Saccharomyces cerevisiae S288C: one gene and its partners. Changing the gene in region 3 together with the main gene of any one other region gives a genetic interaction. Each region holds a gene or a part of one and is shown on either strand. Other genes may lie near its edges. The genes, in order: PTC1, RAD51, SKN7 and ERG3.

The links.
Region 1: mutations in SKN7 (region 3) and PTC1 together harm fitness more than expected from each alone (negative genetic interaction), as found in Saccharomyces cerevisiae (6 studies listed by BioGRID, with this or other methods).
Region 2: mutations in SKN7 (region 3) and RAD51 together harm fitness more than expected from each alone (negative genetic interaction), as found in Saccharomyces cerevisiae (7 studies listed by BioGRID, with this or other methods).
Region 4: mutations in SKN7 (region 3) and ERG3 together harm fitness more than expected from each alone (negative genetic interaction), as found in Saccharomyces cerevisiae (4 studies listed by BioGRID).

Annotation. Positions count from the first base shown.
Region 1 is NC_001136.10:436,518-441,254, forward strand, and holds PTC1 (type 2C protein phosphatase PTC1), read left to right. Parts: upstream 1-3,391; coding exon 3,392-4,237; downstream 4,238-4,737. Other genes in the region: YDL007C-A (uncharacterized protein), read right to left, coding at 50-307; proteasome regulatory particle base subunit RPT2, read left to right, coding at 1,530-2,843; MED2 (Med2p), read right to left, coding at 4,497-4,737. UniProt on the Saccharomyces cerevisiae protein: Serine and threonine phosphatase. Involved in tRNA splicing and cell separation.
Region 2 is NC_001137.3:347,566-352,563, forward strand, and holds RAD51 (recombinase RAD51), read left to right. Parts: upstream 1-2,414; coding exon 2,415-3,617; downstream 3,618-4,998. Other genes in the region: TORC2 complex subunit TSC11, read right to left, coding at 1-47; AIM11 (Aim11p), read right to left, coding at 347-636, 712-835; PUP3 (proteasome core particle subunit beta 3), read right to left, coding at 1,164-1,781; SHC1 (Shc1p), read left to right, coding at 4,133-4,998. UniProt on the Saccharomyces cerevisiae protein: Required both for recombination and for the repair of DNA damage caused by X-rays. Its function may be modulated by interaction with other repair proteins. RAD52 interacts directly with RAD51, via its C-terminus.
Region 3 is NC_001140.6:511,211-516,771, forward strand, and holds SKN7 (kinase-regulated stress-responsive transcription factor SKN7), read left to right. Parts: upstream 1-1,521; coding exon 1,522-3,390; downstream 3,391-5,561. Other genes in the region: serine/threonine protein kinase SCH9, read left to right, coding at 1-627; SET5 (S-adenosylmethionine-dependent methyltransferase), read right to left, coding at 3,695-5,275. UniProt on the Saccharomyces cerevisiae protein: Transcription factor that is part of a SLN1-YPD1-SKN7 two-component regulatory system, which controls gene expression in response to changes in the osmolarity of the extracellular environment.
Region 4 is NC_001144.5:252,044-257,129, forward strand, and holds ERG3 (C-5 sterol desaturase), read left to right. Parts: upstream 1-1,817; coding exon 1,818-2,915; downstream 2,916-5,086. Other genes in the region: SAGA complex subunit SPT8, read right to left, coding at 1-1,037; putative mannosidase MNL2, read left to right, coding at 3,263-5,086. UniProt on the Saccharomyces cerevisiae protein: C-5 sterol desaturase; part of the third module of ergosterol biosynthesis pathway that includes the late steps of the pathway. ERG3 catalyzes the introduction of a C-5 double bond in the B ring to produce 5-dehydroepisterol.

The DNA of each region.
Region 1 (4,737 bases), on a different chromosome or scaffold from region 3:
AGTATCGCAGTATTTATTTTGTATACCCTTAGAATACACATACTTGGTGTTAGAAGCCATCTAATACACTATATAACTCGGGGATTAAATCATCTTGGAAGAGCGAATCTAGTTCAGGATCGCCTGTCGTAAAGTTCGAGGATAAGGACATCGAATTTAGTAGTAGTCCTAATGACTCGATGTTATTGTCTAAAATTTGTTCAATTTCTTTTCCTGATTTATCATCGTCTTCTTGAATAGGTAAACAGTAATATTTACCAAAGTTCAGGAGGGTTAGGATGGTGTGAAAAATTATAGGAAGGAACATCAAGAAAGTGCTTGAAATATTTTTCTTGGATTATGGAAGTATCAAGAACGATATTATTTCAATAATGTGATGGTTTATATCTTTGCATACAATAGATTTTGTGATACTTTTTTTATGTAATGGTCCCGTAACCCCGTCGCTCTTTCCCTTTTAATTTTGCCCGATCCACTTTCTATGCCGGTAGTTTAGCCGCCAAGTGCTATTTTCAAACGAATCAATAGTAGCGGCTGCAACTTTGAAAAAGAAAGAAACAAAATTATGCGCTAGTTTTCCATTTCTTGTATTCTTTTTTCTTTTGCGGTGGTAATTACGGGAATTTAGTGATGTTGGAACGAGAGTAATTAATAGTGACATGAGTTGCTATGGTAACAATCTAATGCTTACACCGTATATTAATGTACACCTCGTATACGTTTAAGTGTGATTGCACCTATTGCAGAAGGAATGTTAAACGAGAAGCTCAGACAATACTGAAGCTGTGCTAAAGATCTATTAATTGAACATGATATGGTAGGTACATATATGAGGAATATGAGTCGTCACATCAATGTATAGTAACTACCGGAATCACTATTATATTGGTCATGATTAATATGACCAATCGGCGTGTGTTTTATATACCTCTCTTATTTAGTATAAGAAGATCAATACTTATTTCTTCATTAATACTATTTTTTACCTCTAACTATCAACAAGTGATAATTGTTGGAATTCCATTGTTAATAAAGGCAATAATATTATGTATACAGAATACAGCTTCCTCTAACTTCTATGACAGTTTCTCATACCTTATGTCATCATCTAACATTGTACATTATAATATACTCGTAGTAAGACTACTAGTTGAGAGAGAATAGTTGATTTTTATTCTAACAAATAATATTCCAGCAGGTTTACATATTCCTAGGTTTGGGATATATCTTAAGTCAATAATTCATCATTAGTAAGGCAACTTGGCCGAGTGGTTAAGGCGAAAGATTAGAAATCTTTTGGGCTTTGCCCGCGCAGGTTCGAGTCCTGCAGTTGTCGTCATTTTTATATTCCCAATATTTTTATCACTCCGGGTAACGAGTTATTAACGGTTTTTCTCCGGTGGCAAATGTCTCTTTTCTTTTACCTAAAAGAAGGTTAATGTGAATATTAGTGAATATGATGCGTATCAGTGTCAAGCTTACAGTCAATTCAAGTTAAAGAAGAGACAGCGTTTTTAATAGAAAATAAAATGGGACAAGGTGTATCATCTGGACAAGACAAAAAGAAGAAGAAGGGATCTAATCAGAAACCCAAATATGAACCTCCCGTTCAATCTAAATTTGGTCGTAAGAAAAGAAAGGGAGGTCCAGCTACTGCTGAAAAATTACCCAACATATATCCAAGTACTCGTTGTAAGTTAAAGCTTCTAAGGATGGAACGAATTAAAGACCATTTGTTATTAGAAGAAGAATTTGTCTCTAACTCTGAAATTTTAAAACCCTTTGAAAAGAAGCAGGAGGAGGAAAAGAAACAATTGGAAGAAATACGTGGAAATCCATTGAGCATTGGGACCCTTGAAGAAATTATAGACGATGATCATGCGATAGTGACAAGTCCAACTATGCCTGATTATTATGTATCTATCTTATCCTTTGTCGATAAAGAGTTACTAGAGCCTGGATGTTCTGTGTTATTGCATCATAAAACCATGTCCATCGTAGGTGTTTTACAGGATGACGCCGATCCAATGGTTTCGGTCATGAAAATGGATAAGTCGCCAACAGAATCATACAGTGATATTGGTGGCTTAGAATCTCAAATTCAAGAAATAAAAGAGTCTGTAGAGTTACCGTTAACACACCCCGAACTGTATGAAGAGATGGGTATCAAACCTCCCAAGGGTGTGATTCTTTATGGTGCACCCGGTACAGGTAAGACATTGCTAGCAAAGGCTGTTGCAAATCAAACATCTGCCACATTCTTAAGGATTGTTGGCTCAGAGTTAATTCAAAAATATTTGGGGGATGGTCCTAGGTTGTGTAGGCAAATTTTCAAAGTAGCGGGTGAGAATGCACCAAGTATTGTATTTATTGATGAAATAGACGCCATTGGTACTAAAAGATATGACTCCAATAGTGGTGGTGAGAGAGAAATTCAGAGAACCATGCTGGAATTGCTGAACCAGCTGGACGGGTTCGACGACAGAGGGGATGTGAAGGTGATTATGGCCACTAACAAAATCGAGACTCTTGACCCAGCATTAATCAGGCCTGGGAGAATTGATCGTAAAATCTTATTTGAAAACCCTGATCTAAGTACTAAGAAAAAAATTTTAGGGATTCACACTTCCAAGATGAATTTAAGTGAGGACGTTAATCTTGAAACTTTAGTAACAACAAAGGATGATTTGTCAGGCGCCGATATCCAGGCAATGTGTACAGAAGCAGGTTTGTTAGCCCTTAGAGAGAGAAGAATGCAAGTTACAGCGGAGGATTTTAAACAAGCCAAGGAGAGAGTCATGAAAAATAAAGTTGAGGAAAATTTAGAAGGTTTATACTTGTGATGTGCCCATTTACATTTTTCTATAATAGATTTACGTATATAAGTAATGCTTCAACAAAGCTTAATATGTGTACATTTTGTATCACGTGCAATATTTGTTTCAAAAACTTAATATAGGTAGGGCGTCGGGGCCTTCGCGAATTCTAACTGCAAAGGAAAACTGGTGAACACATCTGAGAGGGTTTGTTGTCCTAATTTTATAGGAAACTAAAACTCAAAAGACAAAGTATACCTTTGCAAATTGAAAGCTTAGTTAAACATTATTATTCGTGTGTTTGAGGTCACTTTTTTTCGTCTTAAACAGCTCTCAAAGTTGTCTCAAAATTTTTATCCGGATTCCTTTACATTAACAGACCCCAAACACAACAAGTTTTGATAGTTTAAGTAAGTGAACGCTTATTTTTGTTGTCGTTGAAAAGAAAATAAATAGGCAGTATTATCAATTAGGAGGTGAGTTAAATTCCATTCTATACCGAGTATACGAGATTTTGCACATTCTTACTTCATATATCATTTAGGCACTGCATTTATCTTTTAAAAATCATTATAATGAGTAATCATTCTGAAATCTTAGAAAGGCCAGAAACACCATATGACATAACTTATAGAGTAGGTGTGGCGGAAAATAAAAACTCGAAATTTCGGAGGACAATGGAAGATGTTCATACGTATGTTAAAAACTTTGCTTCAAGATTAGATTGGGGATATTTCGCGGTGTTTGATGGACATGCTGGGATTCAGGCCTCCAAATGGTGTGGTAAACATCTTCATACAATTATAGAGCAAAACATTTTGGCAGATGAAACACGAGATGTTAGAGATGTATTGAACGATTCATTCCTAGCCATTGACGAAGAAATTAATACAAAACTTGTAGGAAATAGTGGATGTACTGCTGCTGTTTGCGTATTACGTTGGGAGCTTCCGGATTCAGTTTCTGATGATTCAATGGATTTAGCCCAACACCAAAGAAAGTTATATACAGCAAATGTTGGTGATTCTCGAATAGTATTGTTTAGAAACGGGAACAGCATAAGACTGACTTATGATCATAAGGCATCTGACACTTTGGAGATGCAGAGAGTTGAACAAGCAGGTGGCCTGATAATGAAAAGTCGTGTAAATGGTATGCTGGCAGTGACGAGATCGTTAGGGGATAAATTTTTTGATAGTTTAGTAGTGGGCAGCCCATTTACCACGAGCGTAGAAATAACTTCTGAGGACAAATTTTTAATCCTAGCGTGTGATGGATTATGGGATGTTATTGATGATCAAGATGCATGCGAATTAATCAAGGATATTACTGAACCTAATGAAGCTGCAAAAGTCTTGGTTAGATATGCTTTGGAAAATGGCACAACAGATAATGTAACGGTCATGGTTGTCTTCCTCTAAGAAGGATCCGTTATAAACCGCGCAAAAATTATGCATAGACATAGAGATATGCAATGTGTATGTGTGTATGTATGTATATGTATAAACGTACCAAATCTATTTTGCATGCATCTCTCACATGACGAATGAGGTTTTAGTAGAATAGGATTCCAGATTTTTAAACTGGAGAACATATTCTATCATATATATACCAATTAAATTCACGTAGCGAATGCACAACACGGTTTACAAGTCAATAGTTAACAATAGGAAGACCAAGCTATATATTGAAGCCGCTGAGGTCTAATTCGCCATTATCTCCAGTGGTCGACCAGTCAATATTAAGGTCGTTGAAATCATTTAATGTCAAGTATTCTTCACCGTTGTCGGCTGGAGGAGGGTTATCTCCAGGATTGGAAACAACGGTCGTTGGTAAATCATTATTAACTATATTTTCATTATCATTTCCGGTAGTGATAGAATTGTTCTTGTTATTGCTGTCGTTGTTGGTGGTATTGTTA
Region 2 (4,998 bases), on a different chromosome or scaffold from region 3:
CGACTTGAGAGAGGGCTACTCTGTTTTGCACTGTGAGGTATGCTCATTGTGAATTTCAAAAACTTAATAGAAGCGGTACAGCACGAAGCAACCTCCCTAGCGTGTACACCTACAAATTGAAGGTACCTTAGTTATATCCGAGAACAATAGAACTGCTTGATATTCCATCTTCCATTTCGCCGATGGATCAATCAATTTTTAAGAGAATGCAAAAAAGAAAAAGATTACAATATGTATAATTAAAAGAAGAAAGAATGTATACGGATATACGATATGTGACCAGCCGGCAACGGCTCGTAGTTATACCATTATTTACAGTTTAAAGAGATTAAGCCAATGCGTAGTGCTACTTGTTGTTTTCGCTCGACAGGAGGTCTTGCAATTGCTTAGTTAGTTTGGAAGTTTCTTCGTCCATGCTCGTGTCGGTTTCTAAGGCTTGTGGAAGGCTCATGAACTCTCTAGTCTTAAATACAAACTCTCTTGCCGTTGAAATGTCAAGTGCCCAACAAAAGCCGAATATCAATGTGCTGAACGTACCTATTGAAGCGGCGGATGCATACGTTAACGCTGACATGGCTTCATTCCTTTGGGAAAAAGGTGGAAGCTTGTAATTTTGTTGAAATATGCTGGGGACGTCTGCTTTCAGTAGACGGTGTTAGTAACTATATCCTATTATTAGTTTTGGCCACTGAACTAGGACAAAATACATACATTTTCGTACTTTTATGGCCCTGGAGATAAGCCTCATGGTAATCAGGGTGAAGGCGGCCGCACCATAAAATCTGGCCATTTGAAGAACCCTGCGTTTCTTAAGTTCCTTCTTCTCTTCGATCATAGTTTCGTTTCTTGATGAAGTAGGATAGTCGTACTAATTGCTGACAAACCCGTCAAAGAATCAAGTTCCCCATCCTAATAAGTATTAAAAGCGCCAATTTTTCAAGAGACTCGCGGCTGGTGAATAACGCTGCTCCTTAGAAAAGGACAGCCAGCGGATAGCTACTCAGATCTTCGACTGACTTTATGCATTTTAGTATTTATATATTCATTCGATCTATTCTGTTTACTTAAAAATTAAAGATGAGTTGGATGTGGAAAATTCTTGACGTTCCGCTGATATTTTGTGTTGGGGTTGTTTTTGGGACCATGAGATTGCCATGAACCGATCAATCTTGTCTCATCTTCAAGTATCTCTTCACCACTTCATCCTTCTTGATGATGTATACTACAGCTCCCCAGCCTGATAGAGCGTCACGGTCAGCAGCATTCAGTAGGGCCTGACTTATAGTTTCGAAAAGATCTTCTGGCTCTAGATTAGGTTCGTACAGGGACTCACACATACCGAACAGTTGGTCGGATGCAGTACCGCTAACGATAAAATCCTTGGCCTCGTCGATACAGCCGATTAGGTCGAATCCCGCAATAAAGGGCTTCCCGGACTTGGAATTAATACCTGCTACCACCGGCCCCACAAAGTATGGACCGAATCTTCTTTCATAAAGTGAACTTGACACTAATTGGGTAAACGTTTCAGGCTCAATGGCCCTTTCTTCCTTCAACTTATATAGGTTCGTCTTGTAGCGGAACATCTCGTTCAGAGTAGTCACGTCGGTAGCCAGACCGGTAATCCCTAAGAACACATGCCCATAGTGGAAGATTTTTTCAAACTTGTTCGACACACCTAGTGACTGGCTTCCGAGACGCAAATCACAGGCAATGGCCACACAGTCTTTACCTGTCATCGCAACGACGATACCACCGTTAATAGAACTTGGATCCGACATTTTTTTTTTATGCTTTATTCACTGTTCAATATTTTCACCACAATTCGCAAGAAACGCACTCTACTTCGAAACTACGGTTCAAACTTACTTAGCAGCTTCCCGATTTAATTGGCCTTTCTACTATGCCATAAACTCTTTCTTCCTCTCTTTTCATCGCCCCTGCATTTGCACTTTTTTGCCACCGGCAGTGCCATCCGGTCACATGACTACACCACGTTAATAGCGATCTGGCTTATCATTGTCACAGAGTAAATTAAAATGGACGGTAAATGTTGGAAATGCACCACTACCGTTCTTCAACCAATCTAGTTTAGCTATCCTGCAACAGGTGGCCTTCTTGAGCATTCCCTGAGCATTCCAACCGGTTGTATCAGTGTTTTATCACCGTCTCACCATATCCCACGACTAGGCCACACTTCGTTACCCTATGCTACGCGTCATTTCCGCTATTTCTGTCCTGGTTTGTTTACAGTACGCGTGGTGGGACCATAAAGGGGAATAGTGGGGACTGGAGAAAAAATTTTCTCAGTTACTTCTTCTATCTTCCGTAGTTTCCATATACTAGTAGTTGAGTGTAGCGACAAAGAGCAGACGTAGTTATTTGTTAAAGGCCTACTAATTTGTTATCGTCATATGTCTCAAGTTCAAGAACAACATATATCAGAGTCACAGCTTCAGTACGGGAACGGTTCGTTGATGTCCACTGTACCAGCAGACCTTTCACAGTCAGTCGTTGATGGAAACGGCAACGGTAGCAGCGAAGATATTGAGGCCACCAACGGCTCCGGCGATGGTGGCGGATTGCAGGAGCAAGCGGAAGCGCAAGGTGAAATGGAGGATGAAGCATACGATGAAGCTGCCTTAGGTTCGTTTGTGCCAATAGAAAAACTGCAAGTGAACGGGATTACTATGGCGGATGTGAAAAAACTAAGGGAGAGTGGGCTTCACACTGCTGAAGCGGTAGCATATGCTCCCAGAAAGGATTTATTGGAAATCAAAGGTATATCGGAAGCTAAGGCAGATAAGTTGCTAAACGAAGCGGCAAGGCTAGTGCCTATGGGATTTGTCACGGCTGCTGATTTTCATATGAGAAGATCGGAGCTGATTTGTTTGACAACGGGTTCTAAGAATTTGGACACTCTTTTGGGTGGTGGTGTGGAAACTGGTTCTATTACTGAGCTTTTCGGTGAATTCAGGACAGGTAAGTCCCAGCTATGTCACACTTTGGCCGTGACATGCCAAATTCCATTGGATATTGGTGGCGGTGAAGGTAAGTGTTTGTATATCGATACCGAAGGTACTTTCAGGCCGGTAAGATTGGTATCCATAGCTCAGCGGTTCGGATTAGACCCGGATGATGCTTTGAACAACGTTGCGTATGCAAGAGCCTATAACGCCGATCATCAGTTAAGACTTCTGGATGCTGCTGCCCAAATGATGAGCGAGTCTCGGTTTTCCTTGATTGTGGTCGATTCTGTTATGGCTCTATACCGTACGGATTTTTCTGGTCGTGGTGAACTAAGCGCAAGGCAAATGCATTTAGCCAAATTTATGCGTGCTTTGCAAAGGCTGGCCGACCAATTTGGTGTTGCAGTCGTCGTTACTAACCAAGTGGTCGCCCAAGTTGATGGTGGTATGGCTTTTAATCCAGATCCAAAGAAGCCTATCGGTGGTAATATTATGGCACATTCTTCCACCACGCGATTAGGTTTCAAAAAGGGTAAGGGATGTCAAAGATTATGCAAAGTTGTTGACTCACCTTGCTTACCAGAGGCTGAATGTGTGTTCGCGATCTATGAAGATGGTGTTGGTGACCCCAGAGAAGAAGACGAGTAGGTATTTGGTCTCTTGTCTCTATTTATTTACACAGGTTTACTTTCAATTCTCCTCTTTTTCTTAGGTTGCGTTCCGTACATTTTTATCTTCATTTCCATCCACTGTCTTAGATTTTTGCATATATTTTGTCATATACCTCGCAACCCTACTGCGGTCTTAACCTTTTTTTTCAGTTCTTTTAAATAACTTTCGTATTGTCTGTCACCCATGAAATATATGTATTTTTCTACTCTTCTTCCCGATGACTACTTCCTCCTGCAGGGTCCGCGCGGCTTTATCCTTTTAGGGGAGTGAAGAGAAAAATTTTCTGATATGTCGCCATCCTCTTATAAAACCAACGTAAAATACCATACACTTCTTTATGGCAATGAATTTCCTTGTCTTCGTTTCGACGTTTTTAAATTGAATAAAAAATTGTACTTGGAAAAAAGAATAGAACAATACTTTTGCTAACAGCAAGAGAAGTACGGTTGACATTACGAGTATCCCTTTGTTAAAATCAGGCAGTACCCATAATGTCCATGACTATTTGCTCAAATACTCCTGGTGCATACCCTGAAATTGGAGCTTATAATGAGGTTGATAAACAGTTGGAATCAAGCGGATTCTCCTCTGATTCCTCTCTGATATTGAATAAACCAGAAGTTCGTCAATACTGGTCATCCGTTTCATCTCATATTTCACGCTCAGGTGATGTGTTTACAAATGATAAAGAAAAAATTTCATCCTCTATTGGTGAGGATGCGATGGATATCGACGCTTCGCCCTCATTGATTGAAAAATATAACTCTTTTCCCACAAGAAAGATTCTTCCTGAGCAGGACGAGTTTGAGAACGACGTTGAGGACGATGCTTCTTCCTCACTGAAGGAAAAATCACAAGGTTCTTGTGAAATTGAAATTGCTTCTGAAATTTCATCCGAAATTTTAAATGGCACATCGGCAGACGGTAATTCCGAGTTTCACGACTTCGCTGAGCCCCCTCCCTCTCAGAATGAATCTGTCGCTCTGTCTTTTAGTCAATCGAATGATTTGGACTTTTTGAATAATCCAAGCGGATCAGGCTCTTCAAACGATATCAATAGAAGTACAAGTTCCATTTCACTTCCTAGACATGTGTCACTAGATTTTAACGTTTACAATAGTCTTTGCCTCACAAATGAGGTGACTGCATCAGAATCACATAATGTGGCCAAATTTCACCTTGGCAAGAAAAACAAGAAGAGCTTGCTACCAAGATGGAAAACCATTGAAATGTACGGGGAGGTAGTTAAGAAAACTCAAGACATATATTCTAATTTTCAGTATGCACAATACATTTTAAGGGTAGGGTTGGATACCGAAAAACTACACGAACTTGTTAAGGAACTGGAGGATGAAAG
Region 3 (5,561 bases):
AATCAAAAAATGTACCAAAAAATTGCCTTTGGTAAAGTCAAATTCCCCAGAGACGTACTGTCACAAGAGGGGAGGTCTTTTGTAAAGGGTTTACTAAACAGAAACCCCAAACATAGACTCGGTGCCATTGATGATGGAAGAGAACTACGAGCTCATCCATTTTTCGCAGATATCGACTGGGAGGCCTTGAAGCAGAAAAAAATTCCACCACCTTTCAAACCTCACCTAGTCTCGGAGACGGATACCTCGAATTTTGACCCAGAGTTCACAACAGCTTCAACTTCATACATGAACAAGCACCAGCCGATGATGACTGCTACCCCGCTATCTCCAGCCATGCAAGCAAAGTTTGCTGGTTTCACCTTTGTTGATGAGTCCGCCATCGATGAACACGTTAATAACAACAGAAAATTCCTACAAAACTCGTACTTTATGGAACCTGGTTCCTTTATCCCGGGAAATCCAAACTTACCTCCAGACGAAGATGTCATCGATGATGACGGGGACGAGGACATCAATGATGGATTCAACCAAGAGAAAAATATGAACAACAGCCATTCGCAGATGGACTTCGACGGCGACCAACACATGGATGACGAATTTGTCAGTGGAAGATTCGAAATATGATTTCTCAATCGCTCCTCTTGCCCTTCCTCTTCTTTTCCTTTTCTTTTTATTTTTTTCTAATTTTTCTATCTTTTATTTCTACTTCTATTATTAATTTGTATCTTCTAATCGTTTTTCCCACTTTATCGAAACATTTCTTCTATTTATATATGTAAAGTATGTATGTATTTTCGTTTTATTTAAACTCCAAAAAATGAATAATTGTTCCTGCAAATTTCTAGTTTATCACGTCTCATAATCACTGCTTATACCTCACCATTCCATTGTACTTTGACATATTTACCCCTCATCTATATATAATCAGGGCTTAAGTAAACGCTTCGCTGTGATTTCCCAAAGTCGGTTCGGAAATTATAGGTCGGTTATATCATCCGAAAAAAAAAAAAAAAAAGTTTTTCTTAAATGCATAGGTTTAAAGTCGATTAAAAGTAGGGCTAACACAAGTATAAGCAGGGTTTTGCTATAATAGGGATGCCATAAGTGAGGGCAGGGCTCATCGATGCGCGTACATGGATTTTCCGAAATTCTGAATTTTTTCTTTCTTTAACTATGAGCAAAATGTGGTCAGCTTTACTGAGCTTAACTGTCATCCCATCGAATGTGACAAGATTGAAAGTGCTTCCAGGATCTGAAACATTTGTCAAAGTTTTACTAACATTACACAGATATCCCTGGTCACCTTACTATCTTCCAACATCTTACCTAGGCTTGCTGCTTTTGTTTGGGTCATATATTTAACTCGCTCATTAGAGGACATTCTGTTTTTTCCAAGACCAACAAAAAAGCAACGAAATTGCTGTATTATTAAAGGACTGTTATAGAAGTTTTTTTATCCTCTCTTTGTTTCCATTATTCTTATTCCTATTTTTTCGTTGCTTACTTTTGATATCCACTATGAGCTTTTCCACCATAAATAGCAACGTCAATAAAACCACCGGCGATAGCAATAATAACACCACCGAGAACAGTTCGACTGCAGACCTTTTAGGAATGGACTTGTTGCAGAGCGGGCCTCGACTGATGAACACGATGCAGCCAAACAACTCTTCTGACATGCTGCACATTAACAACAAGACTAATAACGTTCAACAACCAGCTGGAAACACAAATATCAGCAGTGCTAATGCGGGAGCAAAGGCTCCAGCAAATGAGTTCGTAAGAAAACTGTTCAGGATACTGGAAAACAATGAATATCCTGACATTGTAACTTGGACTGAGAACGGCAAAAGTTTCGTCGTTTTGGACACAGGAAAGTTCACTACGCATATATTGCCTAATCACTTCAAACATTCAAATTTTGCATCTTTTGTAAGGCAACTAAACAAGTATGACTTTCACAAGGTTAAGAGAAGTCCCGAGGAAAGACAGAGATGTAAATATGGCGAACAAAGTTGGGAGTTTCAGCATCCAGAATTTAGAGTCCATTACGGAAAAGGTCTCGATAACATCAAAAGGAAAATTCCGGCGCAAAGGAAAGTGCTTTTGGATGAATCTCAAAAGGCTCTTTTGCATTTCAATAGTGAAGGCACTAACCCCAACAATCCTTCTGGGTCTCTTTTGAATGAATCCACCACAGAGCTGTTGTTAAGCAATACCGTAAGTAAAGATGCATTTGGAAATCTAAGAAGGCGAGTAGACAAACTACAAAAGGAGTTGGATATGTCCAAAATGGAGAGTTATGCTACTAAAGTAGAACTACAAAAGTTGAACTCGAAATACAATACGGTTATCGAAAGTTTGATAACATTCAAGACCATAAATGAAAATTTACTCAACAACTTCAACACTCTGTGTTCCACTTTGGCAAATAATGGTATTGAAGTGCCAATATTTGGCGACAATGGAAACCGTAACCCAACTGGTAATACCAACCCAGCAACAACAACAGCTATCCAAAGCAACAACAACACCAACAATGCTTCTCCGGCAACATCTACAGTTTCCTTACAACTACCTAATTTACCCGATCAGAATAGCCTAACACCAAATGCTCAAAATAACACAGTCACGCTACGAAAAGGTTTCCATGTACTGTTGGTGGAAGATGACGCAGTGTCTATACAGTTGTGTTCAAAATTTTTACGGAAATATGGCTGTACTGTCCAAGTTGTCAGCGACGGTCTTTCAGCTATCTCAACACTAGAGAAGTATAGGTATGATTTGGTTTTAATGGACATTGTTATGCCAAACCTAGATGGTGCCACAGCGACATCCATTGTCAGAAGTTTTGATAATGAGACTCCCATCATTGCCATGACAGGTAACATTATGAATCAAGACTTGATCACATACTTACAACATGGAATGAATGATATCTTGGCCAAACCATTCACGAGGGATGATTTACACTCAATTTTAATACGTTATCTAAAGGACCGTATTCCTTTATGCGAACAGCAATTACCACCTCGCAACTCTTCGCCACAAACTCATTCCAACACCAATACTGCTAATTCGAATCCTAATACGATTAATGAACAGTCGTTAGCCATGTTACCACAAGATAATCCGTCAACTACTACCCCTGTTACCCCAGGTGCCTCTATATCTTCTGCACAGCATGTTCAACAAGGTCAACAAGAACAGCAGCATCAAATTTTCCATGCTCAGCAGCAGCAGCAGCATCACAACGCCATTGCTAATGCTAGGTCAGACGTAGCCATACCGAATTTGGAACATGAAATCAACACTGTACCACATTCCTCAATGGGTTCCACTCCGCAATTACCACAATCTACACTTCAAGAAAACCAGCTATCATAAAATTTTACAAATAGCCTTGCGTCTAAGTTAGCAGAGGACATTCTGTATTCCTGAGGAGTTTCTTTATATTTATTATGTGATCTTGGAGGATTATCATTTTCTTTTCGTTCAATATTTTATCCCCTTCAGTTATTTCCAGTTATCTACATCAAAATGTTTGAATTTTATTTCTTTCTGCCGCTCTCAAATTCACTCTCATTTCTTTTTTCTTTGTTTTTCTTATATTTACTATATATATATATATATATATATATATATAGCCAAAAACAATAACAGACACAGTAATTTAGTATGCGTTTATCTCTTATCTTTCATCCACTGCGACCGAAACGTTTGAATCGAATCTGACTGAGGTTTTTCTTACATTCCCTTGTGTATCAACAGTTTCTGGTATGTCTAATTCAAATTCTTTTCCATTCTTCAGTATTTCTTTTAAATCTGGCTGGGCCTCTCTCATGGAAGATTTACGATTACCAGTTGATTTCTTAGAGCCATCTTCACTACTATCATTGGAATCTATTTTTTCTACTCCTAAATTAGCATCCGCATTCTTTTTCTCTAGATTTGGAACTCTTTCAAATGTAGATAGTTCATTTTGACAGCGGTCACACTGGCATAAGAAGCCCCAGTTAACTCTTAATTCCCTACGCCTCAACCTCACCCCATGTAAGGGATTGACGTACGTAATACGTATTTGTTCCCCCTTCTTTATTGGTTTCCTTGCATGCAACCTCAGTTCCTCATGTTCTTCTACTTGCTCAATATAGGCGTTTGGTTCACAATCATGGTTTATGAAGGAGATCCAATGATATACCTGGCCGTTATATTGATTGATATTGAACGTCCCGATCATGGTCAAAAATTTCTCGAAATCTATTTCTTCAGAAGCTTTTGGAAATGCACCGCAAAATAATTCGTAGCACTTCTCCCAAACAGTCTCGTCATCAATATTCTTCTCAACGCCCTTTTTGGTACCATTATCAGATTCCTCTTCAGTATGTACAGTTGTACCATTCAGTAAACTAAACGTACTGCCGATACCGCTGGCGTCTCTTAATTTAATTCTTTCCCTTTGTGAGATGCTTGCCAATTTTTGCCATTGCTCTTTGACCTCTCCTGTAGTATCCAAAAGCATGGATCCATATATAAGACCAACTGAAAAGGCAGCGGTAAAACAATATTTCTCACAGTAGTTAACAAATCTTTTCCAATTACCAGCATGAAGAATGTCTATTCTATTCGATCTCCATGAGTGGTATAAAAGCTCATGTAACGACGCATGTGCTTTTTTACATTTTTCACTGCACCAAATAGCTTTGCAAACTTCACAATCCAAATAATGGACCATAATTTTGTGCTGGGTCAAATCATATAGCGCCTTACCACATCGAGCACATGCCTTTCCATTAGATATTAAAAAAAGCTTGTCCAGTGGTGGAATATATACGATAGGTTTATTTTCTTTCAGGATGATTTGGCCCTTGGAAAAATCTCTTTTAGCGAAAAGGCCCCTTCCATGTTCGTCATCAATAAATTTCACTTCGACCTTAGCATCAGAATCTAGGGCTTTTGGAAAATGTATTTTATCTTTATATAGAGAAACGGTCTCTAGATCTGTGTCATAAAGATGGTGCTCATTTAGAATTTTTCGAAAACGAGAAGCACTCAATTTCCACGATTGATTTCTTTCCGTAATCCTGTCATAAAGATGCTGAATCGTAGCGTCTTCAGTTCCGGGCTCTTCCTTCCATAACAAAACTACGTCATCACAGATCTCTTCCTCTGTGGGAGTTATCTTTCGAAAATCAGAGCCATTTTCTGTACCATTATGCACTGCAGATTGATCGCTATCGTTTAAGGTTCCTATTTTGATAGTCAATGTCATTTTTGTGCCACTTTTCGTTATTTTGTATCAGTGCACGCTTGGTTATTTACCTATTTAGCTTCTATTGTTATATGGAGAAGTTCCCCATGATTATGATATCAAGAAAGAAAAAGAAAAAGAAAAATAATACGAAAAAAAAAATTACGAAGCTAAAATAAAAAAAATTACGGCAAGGAAAGGGTTTACTGATAAAATTTGTTATCATTCTTGCTAGTCAGTAAGAGCATATCTGCTCAAGTAGACAAGGGAAACTATCGCAGGTGGTCCGGAAAGTACTTGACAATCA
Region 4 (5,086 bases), on a different chromosome or scaffold from region 3:
TTAAACTCATTAACTATGTCACCCGTCTGCAAATCCCATTCCAAAAGACGCTTATCCCAGGAACCACTCAAAAACCTGTCCTCTTGACCGTTTAATCTCAGTATGTTAACGATTTGGGTATGTCCATTCCTGCCCTTAAAATAGTGCGCAATGCTCCCCTCCATGTAGCGAACGCCCTGCATGGTAATCCCACCATTCTGTAGCCCGCTCAGTATAAAGAGGCATTCGCTTTGGACTTCCAAAGAATGAACGGGGCTAACTTTGGGCTCGTAATCTGTCTTATTAGCGGAGAGTTTCATTTCTGATTTTTTCTGCGGGATCTCATTTTCCCAGTACGACTGCAAGATACCCGCGTTCTGAATAGACTCAGCCAACGAATGCTTCTGCAGGATAGTTAGAGAAAGTTTCCCCTCAAGCGTGTTCAGCAAGTCGTACTTCCTTATGTATCCATCGCTACCGCCCAAAAACAGGTACTTGAGACCCCTGGACACGGCCAACGCATTGACGTGCGTCTGGATGGGTATGGCTGCCGTGGGGTAGATATTGTACGAATCCGCAATCTGTGCGGCATTCAACATGTGCTTATAGTACTCATAAACCTCTCCATTAGCAGAGGCTTCGTGTGTAGAGGAAGATGCTTCCCTGGACCCCACTCCTCCATCAACATCGCTCAATTTCACATCCTCGGATCCAATCTTAGTAACAGCATCGCCACTATCGCCTGCACCGCCAGCACCAGCAGCAGCAGCCTTTTGCTCATCATGCTGGTGCTCATTCGTCGGTGTAGCAGTCTTATCCATTCTTGCGGCGTCGTCCTCACCATCGTCGTCCTCCTGTTCATCGTCGTCCTCTCGTTCGTCCTCGTCATCATCATCGTCCTCATCATCATCATCGTCATCCTCTTCATCTTCACCACCGTCATCATTCCCCTCGAGGTCCTGCTTTGAGTCGTTTTCCAGCCCACTCAGCATCTCTTCGTCATCCTCCTCGTCATCCACCACCTGGTTGTTAATTAGAATATCGTCAACCTCGTCCATTACGTAAAAGAAGAAAAAAAAAAAAACTGAGCCTTTAGTACACTACAGTTACTGCTACAGCCTTTTACAGCCCAGCATCTGGCACCACTACGCTATAATATATGATGCGTCTATTATGCTAGAATCCTTCCTGAAAGGGCATTCTGGAAGCCCTACGTACAGAGTGACAATATATTAGGGCATCCATAAAAATAGATTAGGGCAGCTCTGCCATTTTTTTCATAGCCGAAAGAAGAAAAACTGAAAAAAAAAATGATACGAAAAAACCGCGAAACGACGCCTTTTGTTGCGATTGTCGGGCATCGCAAGTTACGACGCGTTGTCCCTTGCATCGCTGCCGTGTGGCACGACCCACTGCGGCCTAAACGACCGAGATCGGTGCCCGGGGCAGACCACCCGAAAACTCCCGGGCATTATTTCGGTCGTTTAGTTGCGCCCCAGGGCAACCGGGGTGTATACGAGGCCGATGGCTGCGATAAACGAAAAATTCAGGCTCGTATAAGTGGCACAATAGAAGGTGAAGAAGAACAGCAGGTGCATTGAAACAAGAGGTTCAGCAGCGATCGGGTATTGTTGTTGCTGCTATTATGTAACGGTCGAAAGAAACATCGCGGTATATATTAGAGGCGGATTTCTATCTTTCTTATCAATTCGTTTTTTCATTCACTTGTTCATTCATTCTTTACATTTGTCTTGTTCTTTGAAGTGGTTGCAGAGGAGGTCAGTTTGTTGCATTTGTAAAAAAAGATAATAAGAAAAATATTCGTCTAGATTTGAGATATGGATTTGGTCTTAGAAGTCGCTGACCATTATGTCTTAGACGACTTGTACGCTAAAGTTCTGCCCGCTTCGTTGGCAGCTAATATTCCTGTCAAGTGGCAGAAATTGCTAGGGTTGAACAGTGGGTTCAGCAATTCTACGATTTTGCAGGAGACTTTGAACTCCAAGAATGCCGTCAAAGAATGTAGAAGGTTCTACGGGCAGGTGCCATTCCTGTTTGATATGTCGACGACGTCTTTTGCATCGCTATTGCCTCGTTCCAGCATCTTGAGAGAATTCCTCTCACTATGGGTTATTGTTACGATCTTTGGTTTACTACTTTACTTATTCACGGCTAGTCTCAGCTACGTGTTTGTGTTTGACAAGTCGATTTTCAACCATCCTCGTTACTTGAAAAACCAAATGGCAATGGAAATCAAGTTGGCAGTCAGTGCTATCCCATGGATGTCGATGTTGACCGTTCCATGGTTTGTTATGGAATTGAACGGCCATTCTAAACTATACATGAAGATTGATTATGAAAACCACGGTGTAAGGAAGCTCATTATCGAGTACTTCACTTTCATCTTTTTCACTGATTGCGGTGTGTATTTAGCGCACAGATGGTTGCATTGGCCAAGGGTCTACCGTGCTCTGCACAAGCCTCATCACAAGTGGCTGGTCTGCACACCTTTCGCATCTCATTCTTTCCATCCTGTAGACGGGTTTTTGCAATCCATCTCGTACCACATCTACCCATTGATTCTGCCATTACACAAGGTTTCTTATTTGATTCTGTTCACTTTTGTTAACTTTTGGACTGTTATGATTCATGACGGTCAATACCTATCAAACAATCCTGCCGTCAACGGTACTGCCTGCCACACGGTTCACCATCTATATTTCAACTACAACTACGGTCAATTCACCACTCTGTGGGACAGACTAGGGGGTTCTTACCGTAGACCAGATGACTCATTGTTTGATCCTAAGTTAAGAGATGCTAAGGAGACCTGGGACGCTCAAGTTAAGGAAGTTGAACATTTCATCAAGGAGGTCGAAGGTGATGATAATGATAGAATCTATGAAAACGACCCAAATACCAAGAAGAACAACTGAATACGGTTGCCTTGTTTGTCTCATCTTTTTTCTTTCTTTCACGTTCAAGAACTTTCACACAACGAATAACGTTTATATATTTATATACACATACATGTTTTAAGATACGCATATCATTATGATGTACACCTCACGTTAGTGCAATATGCGCTATTCGTATATTAAATTTTTGCGTTCATTTAATGGCTCTTTTTCCTATTCTAGTGAAAAAAAAAACAGAAAATCGAAGAGCTGGAAAATTTAAGAACAGGCAAATAGGAAGCTGGAAGCTTTAAAATGCCCAAGATTTCGGTGAAGCGCAAGTGTTAACTAGAAAAAGGCCGCCACTACTCTATAAGCAAAACCTTATGTCCATAGCGCGATTAGTATACTCTCTTTTCAGAAGAGTACGATCGGTTCTCTTACTTTTCATTACCATATCGCTATTGTTTTACTATACGTTCCAGAATGAAATCGATATCTTGAATTCGTACGCTTTAAACGACTCACTACCGTCCATAAACAACTATGAGCACAATACAGAAGGTTCTTCGAAACTGGATCCTCCAGACCTATCGTCAACCGGTTCTGACCGAATAGCCACCGACAAGGAAAATGGCAACGTTGCAGTGGATTTGTCAGATCCAGCTACATTGAGAGAAAAAAACAAGTACTTTCCCTTGCTGTTAAAGGGATCGTCTCACCAGATTGGTTCGAATTTACCAATTTCGTCTCTTTTGACATATAAGGAAAAGTATCCCGTCTTGTTCGAATACTCATCACCTTCCTTAACTTCTATAAGCCAGAATGACGTTCATAAGATACAGCCGGCAATGCAATTGCCACCAGATGTTGATATGATAAAACAGATAAAGGACATTTTCATGAAATCATGGAACCAAGAGCAGTTGCTGCTGAAAAGTAACCTCAGAAGGGAATCTACTTGGCCCATAGATCTAATTGATTCTCTAGATACATTGTATCTATGTGGCGAGACGAAACTTTTTCAAGATTCTGTTAATATAATAGAAGATTTTGACTTTCGAGTACCTCCGTTAGCAATGGAAGTTATTGATATTCCTGACATCACTACCCGTGTCCTAGAAGGGTTACTGTCTGCATACGAATTATCTATGGATAAACGATTACTTAACAAAGCAAAACATGTTGCAGATTTCATATTAAGATCATTTGATACCCCTAATAGAATTCCTATTTTGAAATATTTTTGGAAATCTGATCTGAGAAATCGATTTCCAGACCGTACTGTTCCATCAGGTCAATTGACTACTATGGCACTCGCGTTTATCAGATTGTCACAGTTAACCCGTTTGAATAAGTATTTTGATGCTGTTGAAAGAGTTTTCACCACTATACGTCAATCATATAACGAATTTGATATGGAGTTTATGCTGCCTGACGTCGTTGATGCCTCTGGTTGCCAGTTATTAACTCAAGAGGAAATTGAGAATGGTGCACACCTAAAGGGATCCAGCATCATGAAAAGTATCAATGAAAATTTCAAGTTCGTACACTGTCAGCAGTTAGGGAAATTCTTAAATCCTCCAATAGATGATAATAGCCTCCAAGAACAATCTCAATACCAGGCTTATAGAATTAATGAAAAAACAGTACCCATTCTAGAAAATCTATTCAAAATCAATGACCTCTTCCAATCTTCTTATGATATCCTGGACGGCTCAAGTAAAAATGCTAATGCTGCAACGATGGACCCCAGTATTGGTTCAGAGGTAGAAGCAGTCGACGAAATAATTGAGAAAAGAAACTTTAAAGACGGTACTAAAAAAGATTCGACAAAAAACACCGTAGGTGATAAATCATTAATAGACTCGCAAACGTTTTTAACAAATTCCATCAGTAACATTTTTAAATTCATGACTTTTCGACCCATGTTGCCCAAGCAAACGGAAAACAAAAAGTTTAATTTTCTGAATTCCATTCTAACAAAATCTCAATTCATGCCCACGACTAATGAGCTAGATGTCACGATAAGAAAATCTTACGATGTCTCGTTATACTCATGCAGACTTGGCGGCATTCTAGGTTTAAGTTCACGTGTTCCCCACCGAGGCGGTGTCAACACGAAATATATTTTACCATCGTCACTATTGGAAATGAGCGAAATAATAACAGAAAGTTGTTTTATGCTAATGGAGGAGTTCGACGGGCTG